4 linked regions of the Saccharomyces cerevisiae S288C genome follow. The gene in region 1 interacts genetically with each later gene. Each region holds a gene or a part of one and is shown on either strand. Other genes may lie near its edges. The genes, in order: MSC7, RHO2, WHI5 and PHO86.

Region 1 (5,261 bases):
AACTCGATCACTGTGGTGTTCTTCAACAATTCTCCGATGCATTTCTCATGTATAGCCAACTCCACCAGTTTTTTTGAATCCATTATATGCGTGGTGTTGTAAGGGAACGTTTTCGTGTAGAATTTGAGCCCACTCTTCTGTAGGATCTGTGTTCTTTCCTCTTTGGTCTCCGAACCGTCTTCGCCCTCTATGCAAGAGCTTGTTCCAGCCAAGCGATAGAATTCACAGCATTTTTGGAAAACGTTCTTGCCCATCCCTTGCACCAAAAAGTCTGTCTCTTTGATACGGTGGCTGACATGTTTGAAAAGCTCCTTTTTCTCACCCTTTTCCTGCATAGGACATAGAATCCACTCCACGCTCCATACAAATAGGTCCATCGTTTTGTCCCACTTGCTCCTGTTTTGCGATGATCGCTGCATCCCCTTGGGTAGCATCAAACAGTTCACCCCCCTCCTAATTATCCTCTGACACTCCGTGCTATCACGATCATCCTCATCTATATCGTATCTTCTCTTCTTGAAATTAGAGTTGTGGCCGCCCACAGGCCCCAGAACCCGCTTGTTCTTCATTCTAGCATCCATCTTTTGTACATGCACCATTCGCTTCAACTGCGTCAGATAGTTGTAGTCCCTCTGGACATAAGCATTTCGTTCGTGCTTGTCGTCGTCCGCCTGTTTCAACGCCTCACTCGATATATACTCCTTAGGATCATGTGTTTGACCTGAGCAATTGTCCCTTGTCTTGTGCTTCTTGGAACACTCCAAAGAGCAAGTTTGCACCAAACATCTTGGACACTTGTATTTGAACTCTTTTATTCCGCATACACCACACAACACCGCCATACTTGCAAATTGCCACACCCTTCCCTATTAACTGGACTCCTATTCCAGCTCATCTCATCGAATATGAACTTTGACATCCACTATTATTACCGCGAATTTTTTTTTTTTTCAATTTGTTACCCTGCCTTGGGTATCAAAAATTTCATCTCTAAAAGGGAGCGTGATAGATAAAGCAATCACACCTTAAACAATACATTTTTTTTTTTCCTGCAATCTCCAAAGTGTGCAAGGTATACAAAGCAGAATGGTATGTGCCATTACATTACGTGTCAACACTTCTGTCTCTAACAAGCGTTCTTACTAACATGAAAAACTTTTTTAAAACTGTGCTCTCTTGTTGGACTGGTACCTCGTGACAAAGGTATTGGTTTTTTCATTGTTGCTCAGAACTATGTAATATTCTCTTTAGTCCCAAAAAAACGGAATTGCCACCCTACTACAAGCTGAAAAGGAAGCCCACGAAATAGTATCAAAGGCTAGAAAGTACAGACAAGATAAGTTGAAGCAAGCCAAGACTGATGCAGCCAAGGAAATCGACTCATACAAAATTCAAAAAGACAAGGAATTGAAGGAGTTTGAACAAAAGAATGCCGGTGGTGTTGGTGAATTGGAAAAGAAAGCAGAGGCTGGTGTGCAAGGTGAATTAGCTGAGATTAAGAAAATTGCAGAGAAGAAAAAGGATGACGTTGTCAAAATTTTGATCGAGACTGTCATCAAGCCTTCTGCTGAAGTCCATATCAATGCCTTGTAATATTGCATTACATTCTAGTTTTCTAATCATATATCTTTTTATAATATAATACCAATAGAATAAAAATGTATAAACTGACATTGCATTCGGTCTTTACGACTCTCGCTTTATCCATTCAGCCTTTTTTTTTTTTTTTTTTTTTTCTCTATCTGCTAAACGAGTAGTAGTATAATCAAAAATGTGTTATTTAGTATATCGGTTGTAAAGGAGAAAGTATGGTCTCTCTATTTTTATTTTATTAACGAAAAATACTAAACGCCGATGGGGATTACTATATAATTATAATAGTATTTGCAGAATAGTAGAATTCTTTTCACAGTTCACGTTCAGTTTCTCCTCTGTTTTATCGAACGTTTATTCATCATGTCCAAGGTCTATCTGAATTCAGACATGATTAACCATTTGAACTCCACAGTTCAAGCTTACTTTAACTTATGGTTGGAGAAGCAAAACGCAATAATGCGTTCTCAACCCCAAATTATTCAAGATAACCAAAAACTGATAGGCATTACAACGCTAGTTGCCTCAATTTTCACTCTGTATGTTTTGGTCAAGATAATCTCCACCCCAGCAAAGTGTTCCTCGTCCTATAAGCCAGTCAAATTCTCCCTTCCTGCACCAGAGGCCGCTCAAAATAATTGGAAGGGCAAGAGGTCTGTTTCCACTAACATATGGAATCCTGAAGAACCAAACTTTATTCAATGTCATTGTCCCGCCACAGGTCAATATCTAGGTTCTTTTCCATCGAAAACGGAAGCTGACATAGATGAAATGGTTTCTAAGGCAGGCAAAGCTCAATCTACTTGGGGCAATTCTGATTTCTCAAGAAGATTGAGAGTTTTGGCTTCTTTGCATGATTATATTCTAAATAATCAAGATCTTATTGCGAGAGTAGCGTGCAGGGATTCAGGAAAGACAATGTTAGACGCATCGATGGGTGAAATCTTGGTTACTTTAGAAAAAATTCAATGGACTATAAAGCACGGCCAAAGAGCGTTGCAACCTTCGAGACGTCCGGGCCCCACTAATTTTTTCATGAAGTGGTATAAAGGTGCAGAAATCCGTTATGAACCACTGGGTGTGATCAGTTCTATCGTTTCCTGGAACTATCCATTCCATAACTTATTGGGTCCAATTATTGCAGCATTGTTCACAGGGAATGCCATTGTAGTAAAATGTTCAGAACAAGTTGTCTGGTCTTCGGAATTTTTCGTCGAGCTGATCCGCAAATGTTTGGAAGCTTGTGATGAAGATCCAGATTTGGTTCAGTTGTGCTATTGTTTACCTCCAACTGAAAATGATGATTCCGCAAATTATTTCACCTCTCATCCTGGTTTCAAACATATCACTTTTATTGGCAGTCAGCCCGTAGCGCACTATATTCTAAAATGCGCTGCCAAATCATTGACACCCGTAGTTGTGGAGCTTGGTGGTAAGGATGCGTTTATTGTCCTAGACTCAGCTAAGAATTTAGATGCTTTATCTTCTATCATCATGAGGGGTACTTTCCAATCATCCGGTCAAAATTGTATTGGTATTGAGAGGGTTATTGTCAGTAAGGAAAATTATGATGATTTAGTCAAGATTTTGAATGACCGTATGACTGCAAATCCACTACGCCAAGGGTCTGATATTGATCATTTAGAAAATGTTGATATGGGGGCAATGATATCTGACAACAGATTCGATGAACTAGAAGCTTTGGTTAAAGATGCTGTTGCAAAGGGAGCTCGTTTACTTCAAGGTGGTTCCCGCTTCAAACATCCAAAGTATCCACAAGGTCATTATTTCCAACCAACTCTTTTGGTGGATGTCACTCCAGAAATGAAAATAGCACAAAACGAAGTGTTTGGCCCAATTTTAGTCATGATGAAAGCTAAGAATACTGACCATTGTGTACAACTAGCCAACTCTGCGCCATTTGGTCTAGGTGGTTCTGTGTTTGGTGCGGATATCAAGGAATGCAATTACGTCGCAAATAGCCTACAAACTGGTAATGTAGCCATTAATGATTTTGCTACATTCTATGTTTGTCAATTACCATTTGGTGGTATCAATGGTTCAGGTTACGGTAAATTTGGTGGTGAAGAAGGTCTTTTGGGTTTGTGCAATGCCAAAAGTGTCTGTTTTGATACTTTGCCTTTTGTCTCCACTCAAATTCCAAAACCATTAGACTACCCTATTCGTAACAATGCTAAGGCTTGGAATTTTGTAAAGAGTTTCATCGTAGGAGCTTATACAAATTCCACATGGCAAAGAATAAAGTCACTGTTCTCTTTAGCTAAAGAAGCCAGCTAGTTTACTTTAGAGGAAGCAACAAACTTATCAATAATTTGGTATTTATTATTATATAAAATGAACTTTTTATGTACAAGATTTATGATTTTTTGATTCTATACACGTTACGAAATTCCTCATTTTACAATGCTTTTTTCAACTTTCTGGAATTGGTCATGAAGCTTGTTCACGTAATCCTTATGCAGTTTTTCCAAATCCCTCTCAGCTTTTCGAACGGCATCATCCTTTTTGAAACTTTTGAATTCCTTTAGAATACTGCCTCTGATAGTTCCTAATGAGTCTTTTAGCGATGACTGCTTATATTCTTCAAATACTCTCTTTAAGTCTTTAGCTACTTTTAACCGGGATTCTGTAGTTGGTGGTGGTAACGAAACTTTCAATTGCAAATCGTTATTTGGGACCCTTTCAGGAGTTAAATTCAGGTTCGCAGCAAGCACCCCACTGATCACAGTTTTCACATCTTTGGGGTCGAAAACTGTTATTAAAAGTGCATTTTTACCTTTCAAGGATGTGGTAGCAATATCTGTAAACTTTCTGTTATTTTTGAACACTAAACTATTGAATACCTTAGGATTAAAATTTCCCTGTTTTATCTCATTCATTTTCTGTTTTTGAATTTCTAAAGTTTTTTTGAATTGAGTTTCTGCCTTTTTCAGCAGTTCATTCACGTCAATTTCATCTTCTTCGACTTTCTCAGTAGGGGTAGAACTTTTTTTCTTCAAAATTATGAAAGATTGACTAAAAGAACGATTAAATAGACGAGGAACGGTGACTGGTCTACAATTTAATCTAGCTGTGGTTAAAATCATTATTTCTTGCTGTTATTTTTCTTGTCAGGGACTGCTCGCCAAAGTTTCCATCTTTAAGCTTACGAATGGACGTATTTAATAAATTGATGTTCTGTTTCCGGACGGGTCCTTATGCCAAAAACAGAATGAATATGCGGCGAATAAATAGCAACGTGAATAAGTAAGTCATGACAGAATATAGAACGGGAATTTGGACGGTTGGTTCAATGAATATTTTTAAACTATTTACCTAGATAAATTAAAATTGTAAAACTAAAAAAACCTAATGAAGTAATCAAAACCCTTTTTTCGATAATCTAACATTTACATGAGTTGATGGATGAAGTGACTGCATTCGCGGTTCTATTCCACAAAAATTTTTTTATTCATAATTCGATGGATATTTGAAATCAGTCAACTCGTAGAAGTTCTCCTTTGTGTTTCTAATACTGACAAATCTGCTTAAAATGTTTGGACCACCAGCCTTATCGTCGGTACCACTCATTCTTGCGCCACCAAACCATTGCTGAGAAACAACGGCACCAGTACACTTATCATTTATGTAGAAATTTCCTGCGCTAA
Region 2 (3,464 bases), on another chromosome or scaffold:
AAGAAAAACGAAAAAGGGAAGAAGAGAAAGAAAGGCTAAAGAAGGAATTAGAAGAGCGTGAAATGAGAAGACGAGAGGCTCAAAGGAAAAAGGTTGAAGAAGCCAAACGGAAGAAAGACGAGGAGAGAAAGCGTAGATTGGAAGAGCAGCAGCGGAGAGAAGAAATGCAAGAAAAACAACGGAAACAGAAAGAGGAACTAAAACGCAAGAGGGAAGAAGAAAAGAAACGTATTAGAGAACAGAAAAGGCTAGAACAAGAAAAGCTACAGAAAGAAAAAGAAGAAGAAGAGAGACAAAGATTAATTGCAGAGGATGCGCTAAGAAAACAGAAATTAAACGAAGAACAAACATCTGCGAACATACTTTCCGCCAAACCTTTTACTGAGAATGGAGTTGGCAACCCTGTTTCATCTCAATCACATCCCAACATGACTAACTACCAAGAGGATAATAGTTGCAGTATCAACGATGAAATACTTAAAATGGTTAATAGCGTGGCTGCATCCAAACCAGTTTCACCCACAGGCTTTAACGTTCATGATCTACTTCTTCCTTCAACTAACAACCAGATGCCTGCTATGGAACAATCACACTTGCCACAGCCAGGTAATCAAAACAACCATTTTGGAACTACAACTATTCCGAATGCGTTAGACTTGGCTACAAAATCTTCTTTACAGACTGAAAACAACTATTTAATGAACTCACAAACTCTGGAAAATACAAGTCTATTGATGCATAATAATTCATCGCCAACTAAGCTATTGCCAAATGACTTTGGTTTATCATCTTGGGGTGGTCTGACAAATACAATGTCCATAAATCCTACATGTAAACCACCGGTTATTCAAACTTCAGAAATGGAATCACAAGCCCATAAATCTAGTCCTCAAGCTACAATGCCATCTTTTGGACTACCTAATGGTGGTACTCACCGTAAATCGTTTACCGACGAGTTGAACACTTTAACTAGCATGCTTTCTTCTTCCGGGTTCGCAGATACATCACTTTCATCATCAGGATTCCCCCCATCACAGCGTTCTGTGTGGAATGATCAAAAAAGCTCATTTTCGGGACCGTCGACTGCAGGAAACTTTAACAACAGCAGTATACAAAGCGGTATGCTGCTCGCACCTACATTAGGAAGCGTTGAATCGTTTCCAAATCGAACTTCTATCTGGGACAGCAGCACCACTCCGATGATGAATAAATCCGAGCTTTCCGGTCGCAATATAACTAGTACTGCGCAAGATAGCCCTGCGTTCATGGCATCAAATATCTGGTCTAGTAACAGTCAATACAATTCACCATATTTGACTAGCAACGTCCTTCAATCCCCTCAAATTTCGAGTGGAGTGGATGAAAGCCACATTCTGGATAGCATCTACAATACTTATTTAGCTATTTCCCCACAAGATAGTTTAAACCCCTACATTGCTATCGGGACACTATTCCAAAATTTAGTAGGACTTAACTTGGATTACTCGACGTTTATCAACAAATTGATAAGCATGCAAGGAGCCTACAATTGCGAATTCTTTACTGATAACAATGGATCCATTACCCACGTTCGATTTGCGAGACAAACTCCCGCTGGCCACTCAAAGGGGTTGCTGAATCAACTCTTTAGTGGATTGAACGATCCAACTGCTACACCATTTACGTCAAGGCCTCATACCTCCACAAGGGCTAGTTTTCCAATTGCCTCTTCAACTACGCAAACGTCTTAAATTTGCTCCGGTACGCAGGGCCAAAAATATTTACATACATACATAATTCGACGAAATTTCAGAAGAGACACTAAACAATCGTACATCTCTCTACTCGATGTGAGCCACGCGTCGGTTTTTCTTACCGTCGTGGCTTTAGAGGTGAGGCTGCGACACCCCATACATCTTACCCGGCATTTAATTTCCATTTTTCGCAGGAATGTGAATATGATAATAGACTTCGGTACACTCTTTTTTAGGTATAACATATATCAATTGTTCAACAACAATTATTCAAAGCGCAACTCTCCAAAGGTAGTTATTCTGATAATTTGAACCAAAAGTCCCCAGATTAAGTCTTAATTAAACTGCCCTTGCATACCGCTGTAAACGATTTGTGTGCAGACATCAATTGCTGAAACGTTCTGCTTTGGTTGTGCTTTTGATCCCGTACTATGTCTGAAAAGGCCGTTAGAAGGAAACTTGTTATTATTGGTGATGGTGCTTGTGGCAAGACCTCTTTACTATATGTATTTACATTAGGAAAATTCCCTGAACAATATCATCCGACAGTGTTCGAGAATTATGTCACTGATTGCAGAGTTGACGGAATAAAAGTGTCCTTAACGCTCTGGGATACAGCGGGACAAGAGGAATATGAACGTTTACGTCCATTCTCATATTCAAAAGCAGATATAATATTAATTGGGTTTGCTGTAGACAATTTTGAATCACTAATTAACGCAAGGACGAAATGGGCGGATGAGGCATTACGATATTGTCCTGACGCACCAATCGTTCTTGTAGGCTTGAAAAAAGATTTGAGGCAAGAAGCCCATTTTAAAGAGAATGCTACCGATGAAATGGTTCCCATTGAAGATGCAAAACAAGTTGCAAGGGCCATTGGGGCCAAGAAATACATGGAATGTAGTGCACTGACTGGTGAGGGTGTGGATGATGTCTTTGAAGTAGCTACAAGAACCAGTTTGCTTATGAAGAAGGAACCAGGGGCTAACTGTTGCATAATTTTATAAAAAAAACTTACACTGAAATGATACATTATCTTTTTAGCAAGGGAGGGAAAAACAATACCGTATTATAATTTTAATCAAATTTCATAGATATAATGGAATAAGTTAAAAAGGCTTATCGATAGTGCATGTATAAAACACAAACCCATTCGATATGTTTGTTCGTTAATGTCCTACAGATTCTTATTCGAGAGCCTTTACCAGAAGCAAAATTTCCGACGGATATAAGAAAATGGCACATCAAACCATAGCTCAAGGTACTGCGCCGATGAGCTAAACGGAACTGCCTAGTTTGATTATTTTTCGTTTATATACTTATTTACTTATTTACGCTATTTGTATTCGAATTCCTTACGAGGCGATGAGTGAAAGACGCGCCAGTAGGACGCGTCTTTTTTTTTTCAGTATAATGTAAACATATTATTGAATTGCCGAAGGAGACAAAAAGAAAAGAAAAGAGGAGATCATCTTTCATATAATCCAACCACGTCGTAGAGCAAACCACGACAATTTTAACTTTCTGTTTCAGTTAAAGGAGTTTATAACGACCAGCACGGCTAACCATGTCAACTGAACCGGTAAGCGCCTCTGATAAATATCAGAAAATTTCTCAACTGGAACATATCTTAAAAAGACCAGACACTTATATCGGTTCTGTTGAAACTCAAGAGCAGCTGCAATGGATATACGATGAAGAGACCGATTGCATGATTGAAAAAAATGT
Region 3 (3,927 bases), on another chromosome or scaffold:
TCTTGGCCACAGTTATTTTGAATCATGGAAATTTTCGGCCAAGTAGCTCTTGCACCTAAAGTAGTTTGGTGCAATAGGAAAAGTTGAGATGGGTTCTTCAATACTTCGTGGAATTGACCAACCATTGATAGATCGGGTAAAATTGTGACATTGCCAGAGTATTGTTGTAAAAAAAGGTGTTTCAATTTGGTCATCAAATAGGGATGGAACTCAAGCTCCTTTAGGATGTCTAAAAAATGAATAGTTTCGTCGGAAAAAAATTTGAAGATCTTTGTTACTTGGTTTCTGAAACGGGCGGTAATTTCCTTTTCAATTTCACCCCCAACGCAAGTGTTTGAAAACTTTAACAGGGGAAAGACATGTATATTTACCTGGCAGGCGATAATGTGGTCGACATTGAACATTTCAGAAAGACGAGAAATGGGCATGTCATTATCTACAGATCCGTCCATGAATTTCATGTTTGATAAATGTAAATTTGTTGCCCCCCACTCTTTAATCTTTCCAGTGTGAGGATCTTTCTCGAATAGCGGCGTGGAGGGGAAAACTCCAGGTAGAGAACAAGATGCGCATACGGCAGACCAGATGAGAACGTTTGGAGCGGTTAAATTGTTTAGTAGTTTCGGCTGTTCGTATATGGAAGCAGGCGAGACTGTGATATTCAGGATTTTTCCAGTCTTGTTGTAGGCTTCCCTAAAGGTCAAGTTTCCTAAAAACGAAAGCATTGTGTTAATCAAAGGTTGATTATTGAACCAGGTACCGTTTTGGCAGAACCTCGATATCTTGATTAGTAAGTTTTCGTTGGGAGATTTGGAATTGTCGTCATTGAAGATGTTAAACTCCATATTAAGTACATTGGTCAACAAGGAGGGAATTTCCTGGGTCGTGTGGACGCAAAATATGCTGGCAACAATGGCGCCAGCACTGCTACCGCTGATCACCTTAGGCATCAGGTCCGATTCAAAAAGGGCGGCAAGAACACCAATGTGGAAAAGGCCGAAAGTGCTCCCACCGCTAAGCACGAGAGCCGTGCGCCCTATGTTTCTTCTCGTCTGTTGCAAAATACCGAGGAGATAGTGATCGTTCATATTTGACTGATGGATCAGCGCGGTGAGCACTGCTTGAGACTCTTCTAGGTAGTCATGTATAATTTGTTTTGTGCCGGTATGCGAGTGCCTGTAAAGATTAACGTTATTCATGTTGCCAAGATTACGGACCCACTTAGTTCTAATCAGATAAAGCAGGCGGTGGTAGTCGTGAGTGGTTCTCAAATGGCGCATACGGATGGTCAAGTCTTGCAGCAGCTTATAGTTATACAACGAGGACTCGTCGATTGTTTTCCATTCGGAAAGTCCCGTTAAGTCGTCTAATCGCGACGCTATGTCATTCCATTGATCGTAGGAGATGGCGTGTTTTTTCTGGGAAGACAAATCGGATATGAGCAGCTGTTTACGGGAGAGAGTCTTGTGGTATAACCATTTGAAGAGCGATGATGAGTCTGTGGCAGGAGTGTTGGAAAGTTCGTAGTATTTGGATAAAAGAAATTCTGTTACTGGCAAGGTATTAGACATAGCAACGAAACAGAACCGTCTTCCTTGTGCTGTTTATGATGTCTTTTGTCTCCTATTGTTTTCGAATTTTATTTTTTTTTTTTTTTATTTTTTTATTTTTTTTTGTTTTATATAATTCCTCGCGCTGCCTTAATGATAATTCTTGATTTACTAATTGTTTCATGACTTCTGGTGCTAAAGGGAAGGGGGAAAAGGGAAGCGAAAACTTCAAGAGCAGAACGAAAAAAATAAAAAAAACAAAACAAAACAAAACAAAACAAAGGCAAAACAAGGCAAAGAACCTGATGGAAGAAAGCACAACCAGATATTAATAGCAACGAAAAATAGTAGAGACATTGAAGAATATGAGTTTGAGAACGCCGAAGAGAAGCAGGACTAGCGATGAACAAGAACAAGAACAAGAACAAGAGCAGGTACAGAACCCAGATACACATGTAAACAACGAGCATCAGCAGCGACCTGGGCCAACCACTCTATTGAGCACGCCAGTACGTCTCAAAAATGGCTTTGGAACACCATCGCCGCCGTCACCACCAGGCATAACGAAAAGCATCACTAAATCGAGAAGAAGGCCGTCGACAACGAGTCTTCAGGGTATATTCATGTCGCCCGTCAATAAGCGTCGTGTCGGCATAACCGCACATGGACGTGTATATGACCATAACGACGACGGACACGAAAGTGAGAGTGAGGACGACGAAAATGAAGAAGAAAATGAAAATCAAAAGAAGTACGACGGACACGTTAGTATGCCTTTGTTGCCACCGACAACGCCCAAGTCAAGACGGTCGGAGGTGTTTCTGTCGCCGTCGCCGCGTTTGAGGTCACCTCCGACGGCTGCGCGTCGGTCTACGGGCGAGCGGCCCATCCGCGAAATATCACATACTTTGCGCACCAGGCTCAATTACGCGTTAGTCAAGCTGCAAAATGGATGGACGGACAAGACACTTCCCGAGCTGGAGACGGAGCTTGCTCCAGCAGTGCAGACGCCGCCACGTCGCTATCACAACAGATTTCCAGATAGTGCAGACGCGGGTACTTCCGCGCATACAGCGTTTCTTCAGGCGCTCGGAGGCCACCCACCACGGGAGGAGGCCACGGCTGTCGAAACACTGATGCTATTGTCGTCGCCTACCAAGAAGCAACAACACCGACCCGTGCCGGCGACATCTGCTGGAGAACCCACGGACGAAACGGAGCCCGAGTCGGATACCGAAGTGGAGACGTCTTAATGTGGTAGTACGAGTTTTTTCTCCGCAATCTCGGAGTTAGTGCAGCCGCGCCCGCTGCTGCACCCTTTAGCATATATATAAAGTGCGTAATGTGCGTGCTAAAAAAGCTCACTAGTGCGTACTCTGCTTATCTCTGCGTATCCGCCGATCAACATCCGCGGCTAAAATGGAACAGAACAGGTTCAAGAAAGAAACGAAAACTTGTAGCGCTAGCTGGCCGCGCGCACCGCAGTCGACGCTGTGTGCGACAGATCGCCTCGAGCTCACATACGATGTGTACACTAGCGCAGAGCGGCAACGCCGCTCTCGCACTGCCACTAGGCTTAACCTTGTGTTTTTGCACGGCAGCGGCATGAGTAAGGTGGTATGGGAGTACTATTTGCCGCGTCTGGTAGCCGCCGATGCGGAGGGCAATTATGCCATCGACAAGGTTTTGTTGATCGACCAGGTTAACCACGGTGATTCTGCGGTACGCAACCGCGGCAGACTCGGCACCAATTTCAACTGGATCGACGGGGCCCGCGACGTGCTCAAGATTGCCACATGCGAGTTGGGCAGTATTGACAGCCACCCGGCACTAAACGTAGTCATCGGCCACTCGATGGGCGGGTTCCAGGCTCTTGCGTGTGACGTCCTGCAGCCCAATCTGTTTCATTTGCTCATCTTGATCGAGCCTGTAGTAATCACACGGAAAGCCATCGGCGCCGGGAGGCCAGGGCTTCCGCCCGATTCTCCGCAGATCCCAGAAAATCTTTATAACTCCCTACGTTTAAAGACGTGCGACCATTTCGCTAACGAGTCCGAATATGTAAAATATATGAGGAACGGTTCCTTTTTTACCAATGCGCACAGCCAAATCCTGCAAAACATCATCGATTTTGAGAGGACAAAAGCCTCTGGAGACGATGAAGATGGTGGACCCGTTCGCACGAAGATGGAGCAGGCTCAAAATCTCCTCTGCTACATGAACATGCAGACTTTTGCGCCTTTCCTGATCAGCAATGTGAAGTTTGTGAGGAAGCGGACTATCCACATTGTGGGCGCGCGCTCCAACTGGTGTCCTCCGCAAAATCAGCTGTTTTTGCAGAAAACTCTACAGAACTACCATCTCGATGTCATTCCCG
Region 4 (3,902 bases), on another chromosome or scaffold:
ACAATAACGTTGGCACCGGCTTTGGCGGCTTTCGGGATGGTCTCCTTGCCCAAACCACCATCGACTTGGATATTCAAATGGGGGAACTTGGCTCTCAAAGTTTCCACTTTTGGCATCATGTCTTCCATGAATTTTTGGCCTCCAAACCCAGGTTCCACAGTCATAACAAGAGCCATATCCAAATGAGGAGCTAGTTCAAATAAAACGTCAACAGAAGTACCAGGTTTGATGGCGCATGCAGCTTTGATGCCCTTAGACTTAATCAACTTAACTAAATGCAAAGGGTCTTGTGTGGCCTCGTAGTGGAACGTAAATTGGTCAGCACCACATTTAGCAAAATCGTCGACCCATTTTTCAGGATTTTCAACCATCATGTGACAATCGAAGAACGCAGTGGGCTTCTTTTCTGTGTTGCTAGCATCGCCAGGGCGTGGCACAGAACGACGTAGGGAGGTAACAATTGGTTGGCCCAGAGTAATGTTTGGAACAAAATGGCCGTCCATGACATCGATATGTAACCAATCTGCGCCGGCGTTGATGACCTTATGACATTCGCAACCCAAGTTGGCGAAGTCAGAAGCAAGGATACTGGGAGCTATAATTGGTTTGACCATTTTTTCTTGTGTGTTTACCTCGCTCTTGGAATTAGCAAATGGCCTTCTTGCATGAAATTGTATCGAGTTTGCTTTATTTTTCTTTTTACGGGCGGATTCTTTCTATTCTGGCTTTCCTATAACAGAGATCATGAAAGAAGTTCCAGCTTACGGATCAAGAAAGTACCTATACATATACAAAAATCTGATTACTTTCCCAGCTCGACTTGGATAGCTGTTCTTGTTTTCTCTTGGCGACACATTTTTTGTTTCTGAAGCCACGTCCTGCTTTATAAGAGGACATTTAAAGTTGCAGGACTTGAATGCAATTACCGGAAGAAGCAACCAACCGGCATGGTTCAGCATACAATACACATTTGATTAGAAAAGCAGAGAATAAATAGACATGATACCTCTCTTTTTATCCTCTGCAGCGTATTATTGTTTATTCCACGCAGGCATCGGTCGTTGGCTGTTGTTATGTCTCAGATAAGCGCGTTTGTTATGCGAAAAAAAAAAACTTTACAGAGGCTTTGTTTATATATAGAAAGACCACGAAAAAAACAGTGATGGCTTCATGCTTTTCAGTTTCATTATTGGCACGAGTAGCAGTCGTTGAGCCCATCAGAGTGCAACTTTGGTTAAATGTCGTAAATTGTATGATTGAATCATCCATGCACCAATGTCCTCCACGGGATCGCCACTTTTTTTCTTCATCACGCCCCATTTTGTTGATCCGACGTTCTGTATCAACTGTATACAGATTCGTTGCTTCTCGCACCACACAGGTTTTACGTGCGGCCAAGACCGTTGTCAAGTGGTTCATTATTGTCGACCCACTGATAAATTCTATTCTAATCAATTATCTCATTGATAGGCTCTGCACTCTTGGGCATGCTGTATTGCGAGTGAAAAAGCGCAAGACCGAGGAGAGACAACCCTGTTCTCCCATTATACAACACACACACGTTAAGAGACGCAAACGGCCTCGTCTGAGGATCGTAGCCATCAAGAGGAAGCGGAGGCGTCGAAGACCACATCGCATCGAGCGTCCACTCTCAAATATGTACCCAATAATGGAAATCCAGATGGTGGCTGTTCCACTTGCTCTTCCCAGTCCAACTGCACTGGTGCATTATCAGCAGCAGCAACAGCAGCTCCCGCAACATCATCCCTGGTACGACCTCTCGCTTTCTGAAGAAGCCCTCTCGACCTGCTGTTGTAGTTGACCTATAACTGAAAATTCACACCCGCATTACCCAGCGCGCCCGCACGTGCTCTTTATGGAAACTATAATGAATAACGACCAAAGAACATCTTTTTTTCTCTCTCACACAAATAAAGCTTTTCATGTTTATAGATATATAGCACATACTTTTACTAAGTTTTCTAGATTGATTACGACTCTTCCAGTTGCACATTTTTTCATAGCGAAAGTACAAGAGTAGGAAGAGTGGCACAATGGCGGTTCAACAAAGAAAGAAGAAAGAGGGTAGAAAGTCCGATAAAAATGCCCCATCGGTCCCACAAGTAGATGCATCATTAGACAAACCACTTGATATTGATGCTCCTCCTACTATTTACAGTGTTAATTTGAAACCAGAATATGGTACAGCTGCATTGAATTTGTCCGCGGATTTCATCAGACAAGAACAGGCATTGGCTAATAAGTATTTGTTCTTCCATCCCGTCATCCTTGTTGTTCTAACCATTGGGCTGCTTATTTACTTGACGCCAAGAATTGTCTTTCCGATAAGGAATACAGGATCCGTTGCTGGATGGTTCTACCAGCTGGCTCGTATTAATAAGAAGGTCGTCCTCAGCGGTTTAGTGTTCACCGCAATTGGTGCATCTTTCTTGTTCACCCTCCTCTCACGTGTATCTGACTCGTATTTCAAGTCGAAGATCAACCAACTTGTTGGTTCTAAAGGTGAGAAAGTTTTCGGCATCAATTTGAATGATTTGGTGGCAAGACATGAAACAAAGGATCCAGTGGTGAACAATACGCATATCATCGTTTATAGAGAAACGCCCATTGCATTGATTTCGTTAGCCCCTAACATGACATTAAGTACTGATGAAAATTTAGTCATGAGTGTTACTACTGTGGGTTGTCGTCGTGTATATGTAAAAAGTGGCATTATCGAAGATTTGATTGATTGGGCTATGCTACACTCCAAAAATATTAGAAGCAGCGGCAAATACGGGGAGACCATGAAACTCTTGATTGATGTCTACTCATTCGATAGCACGCTTAAGGAAATTTTGAAGAAAAAAGGGTTCACTTATATTCAAAGCATTAGAGTCTCTGAAAATCGACTACTAGGCGGTTTGTTCGGTGTGAAGAAGGAATTATGGGGTTTGCAATTCCATTTTAAAGCCGAACACAAGGACTAGGATACTGTTATTTTTATAGCCAAAAAATGAAAAAAAACAGCATGGCATCTTGTTAGTTCTGTTGCAACTCGCAGGAAGTAACAAAATAAACACTATAATATTTCCATATATTTATATATATGTATACAAACACCTTGTTAACAAAAAAAAAATAAACGAACTAAAGAAAACCGTAATGCAGAGTACACCTTGAAGAGAGAGAAAAGAAAATCTTTGAATCCATAGCATAATAGCGATCAACGAAACTTTTTAAGAAGTAAAATGAACTGAAAGGAGAAAAATATAACGGAATCCCAATGTATAATAATAAATAGAGAGCGGAAGAAAAAGAATAATAAGGGGAATTGAGGGTATCAAAATACAAGACATTCTTTTACCGAAAAGAAGAATGACTTAATAGAAAACAAATTCAGCAGATCCAGATAAAACAGAAACTGTGCAACCATCGGAACCATCTCCGGTGAAAGAGCCATCTTCATACGCACAGCTGCCCTGAACGTTAGCGCCATCGGATGCAACTATTTTAACGTTAAAGTTGGCAGCTTGGTTACTGTTGGGGTTTGGAATCAACGACAAGTATGTTTCTCCATTAGTGGAACCAGCACCTAACACTAGTGGAGCCCAGTTGCCGACATCCGAACCAGAAGTACCCCAAATGCACCCATCTTCTGCAGATACACCGGCGTTGTTAATATAGTACTGAGCAGAAGTCTTTTTACCCTGCCATTGATAATAAGTGTCTTCATCAACGACTGAAATTGGTTGTGAATCTCCACCATCAACCACTGTGGGAATCACCATGTTTTCTGATCCTGGGTAATCCGTCCTACATAGAGCAATGGAGTCAGACTTTTTGTTAATGGCCTTAGCAGATGTTTCATCCGTAGAACATAAATCGCTGGTATCAGTGTT

What was found.
Region 2: mutations in MSC7 (region 1) and RHO2 together harm fitness more than expected from each alone (negative genetic interaction), as found in Saccharomyces cerevisiae (2 studies listed by BioGRID).
Region 3: mutations in MSC7 (region 1) and WHI5 together harm fitness more than expected from each alone (negative genetic interaction), as found in Saccharomyces cerevisiae (2 studies listed by BioGRID).
Region 4: mutations in MSC7 (region 1) and PHO86 together harm fitness more than expected from each alone (negative genetic interaction), as found in Saccharomyces cerevisiae (3 studies listed by BioGRID).

Annotation. Positions count from the first base shown.
Region 1 is NC_001140.6:183,505-188,765, reverse strand, and holds MSC7 (meiotic recombination directing protein), read left to right. Parts: upstream 1-1,956; coding exon 1,957-3,891; downstream 3,892-5,261. Other genes in the region: BCD1 (Bcd1p), read right to left, coding at 1-842; VMA10 (H(+)-transporting V1 sector ATPase subunit G), read left to right, coding at 1,087-1,089, 1,252-1,593; RRF1 (Rrf1p), read right to left, coding at 4,008-4,700; PUT2 (1-pyrroline-5-carboxylate dehydrogenase), read right to left, coding at 5,062-5,261.
Region 2 is NC_001146.8:454,401-457,864, forward strand, and holds RHO2 (Rho family GTPase RHO2), read left to right. Parts: upstream 1-2,164; coding exon 2,165-2,743; downstream 2,744-3,464. Other genes in the region: NST1 (Nst1p), read left to right, coding at 1-1,730; TOP2 (DNA topoisomerase 2), read left to right, coding at 3,304-3,464.
Region 3 is NC_001147.6:477,618-481,544, forward strand, and holds WHI5 (transcriptional repressor WHI5), read left to right. Parts: upstream 1-1,915; coding exon 1,916-2,803; downstream 2,804-3,927. Other genes in the region: TGL5 (triacylglycerol lipase), read right to left, coding at 1-1,571; LPX1 (triglyceride lipase), read left to right, coding at 2,970-3,927. UniProt on the Saccharomyces cerevisiae protein: Transcriptional repressor that negatively regulates G1-specific, SBF- and MBF-dependent transcription. Binds via SBF to promoters of G1-specific genes to repress transcription in early G1.
Region 4 is NC_001142.9:190,477-194,378, forward strand, and holds PHO86 (Pho86p), read left to right. Parts: upstream 1-2,054; coding exon 2,055-2,990; downstream 2,991-3,902. Other genes in the region: ribulose-phosphate 3-epimerase RPE1, read right to left, coding at 1-614; YJL118W (uncharacterized protein), read left to right, coding at 1,163-1,822; SUN family protein NCA3, read right to left, coding at 3,384-3,902.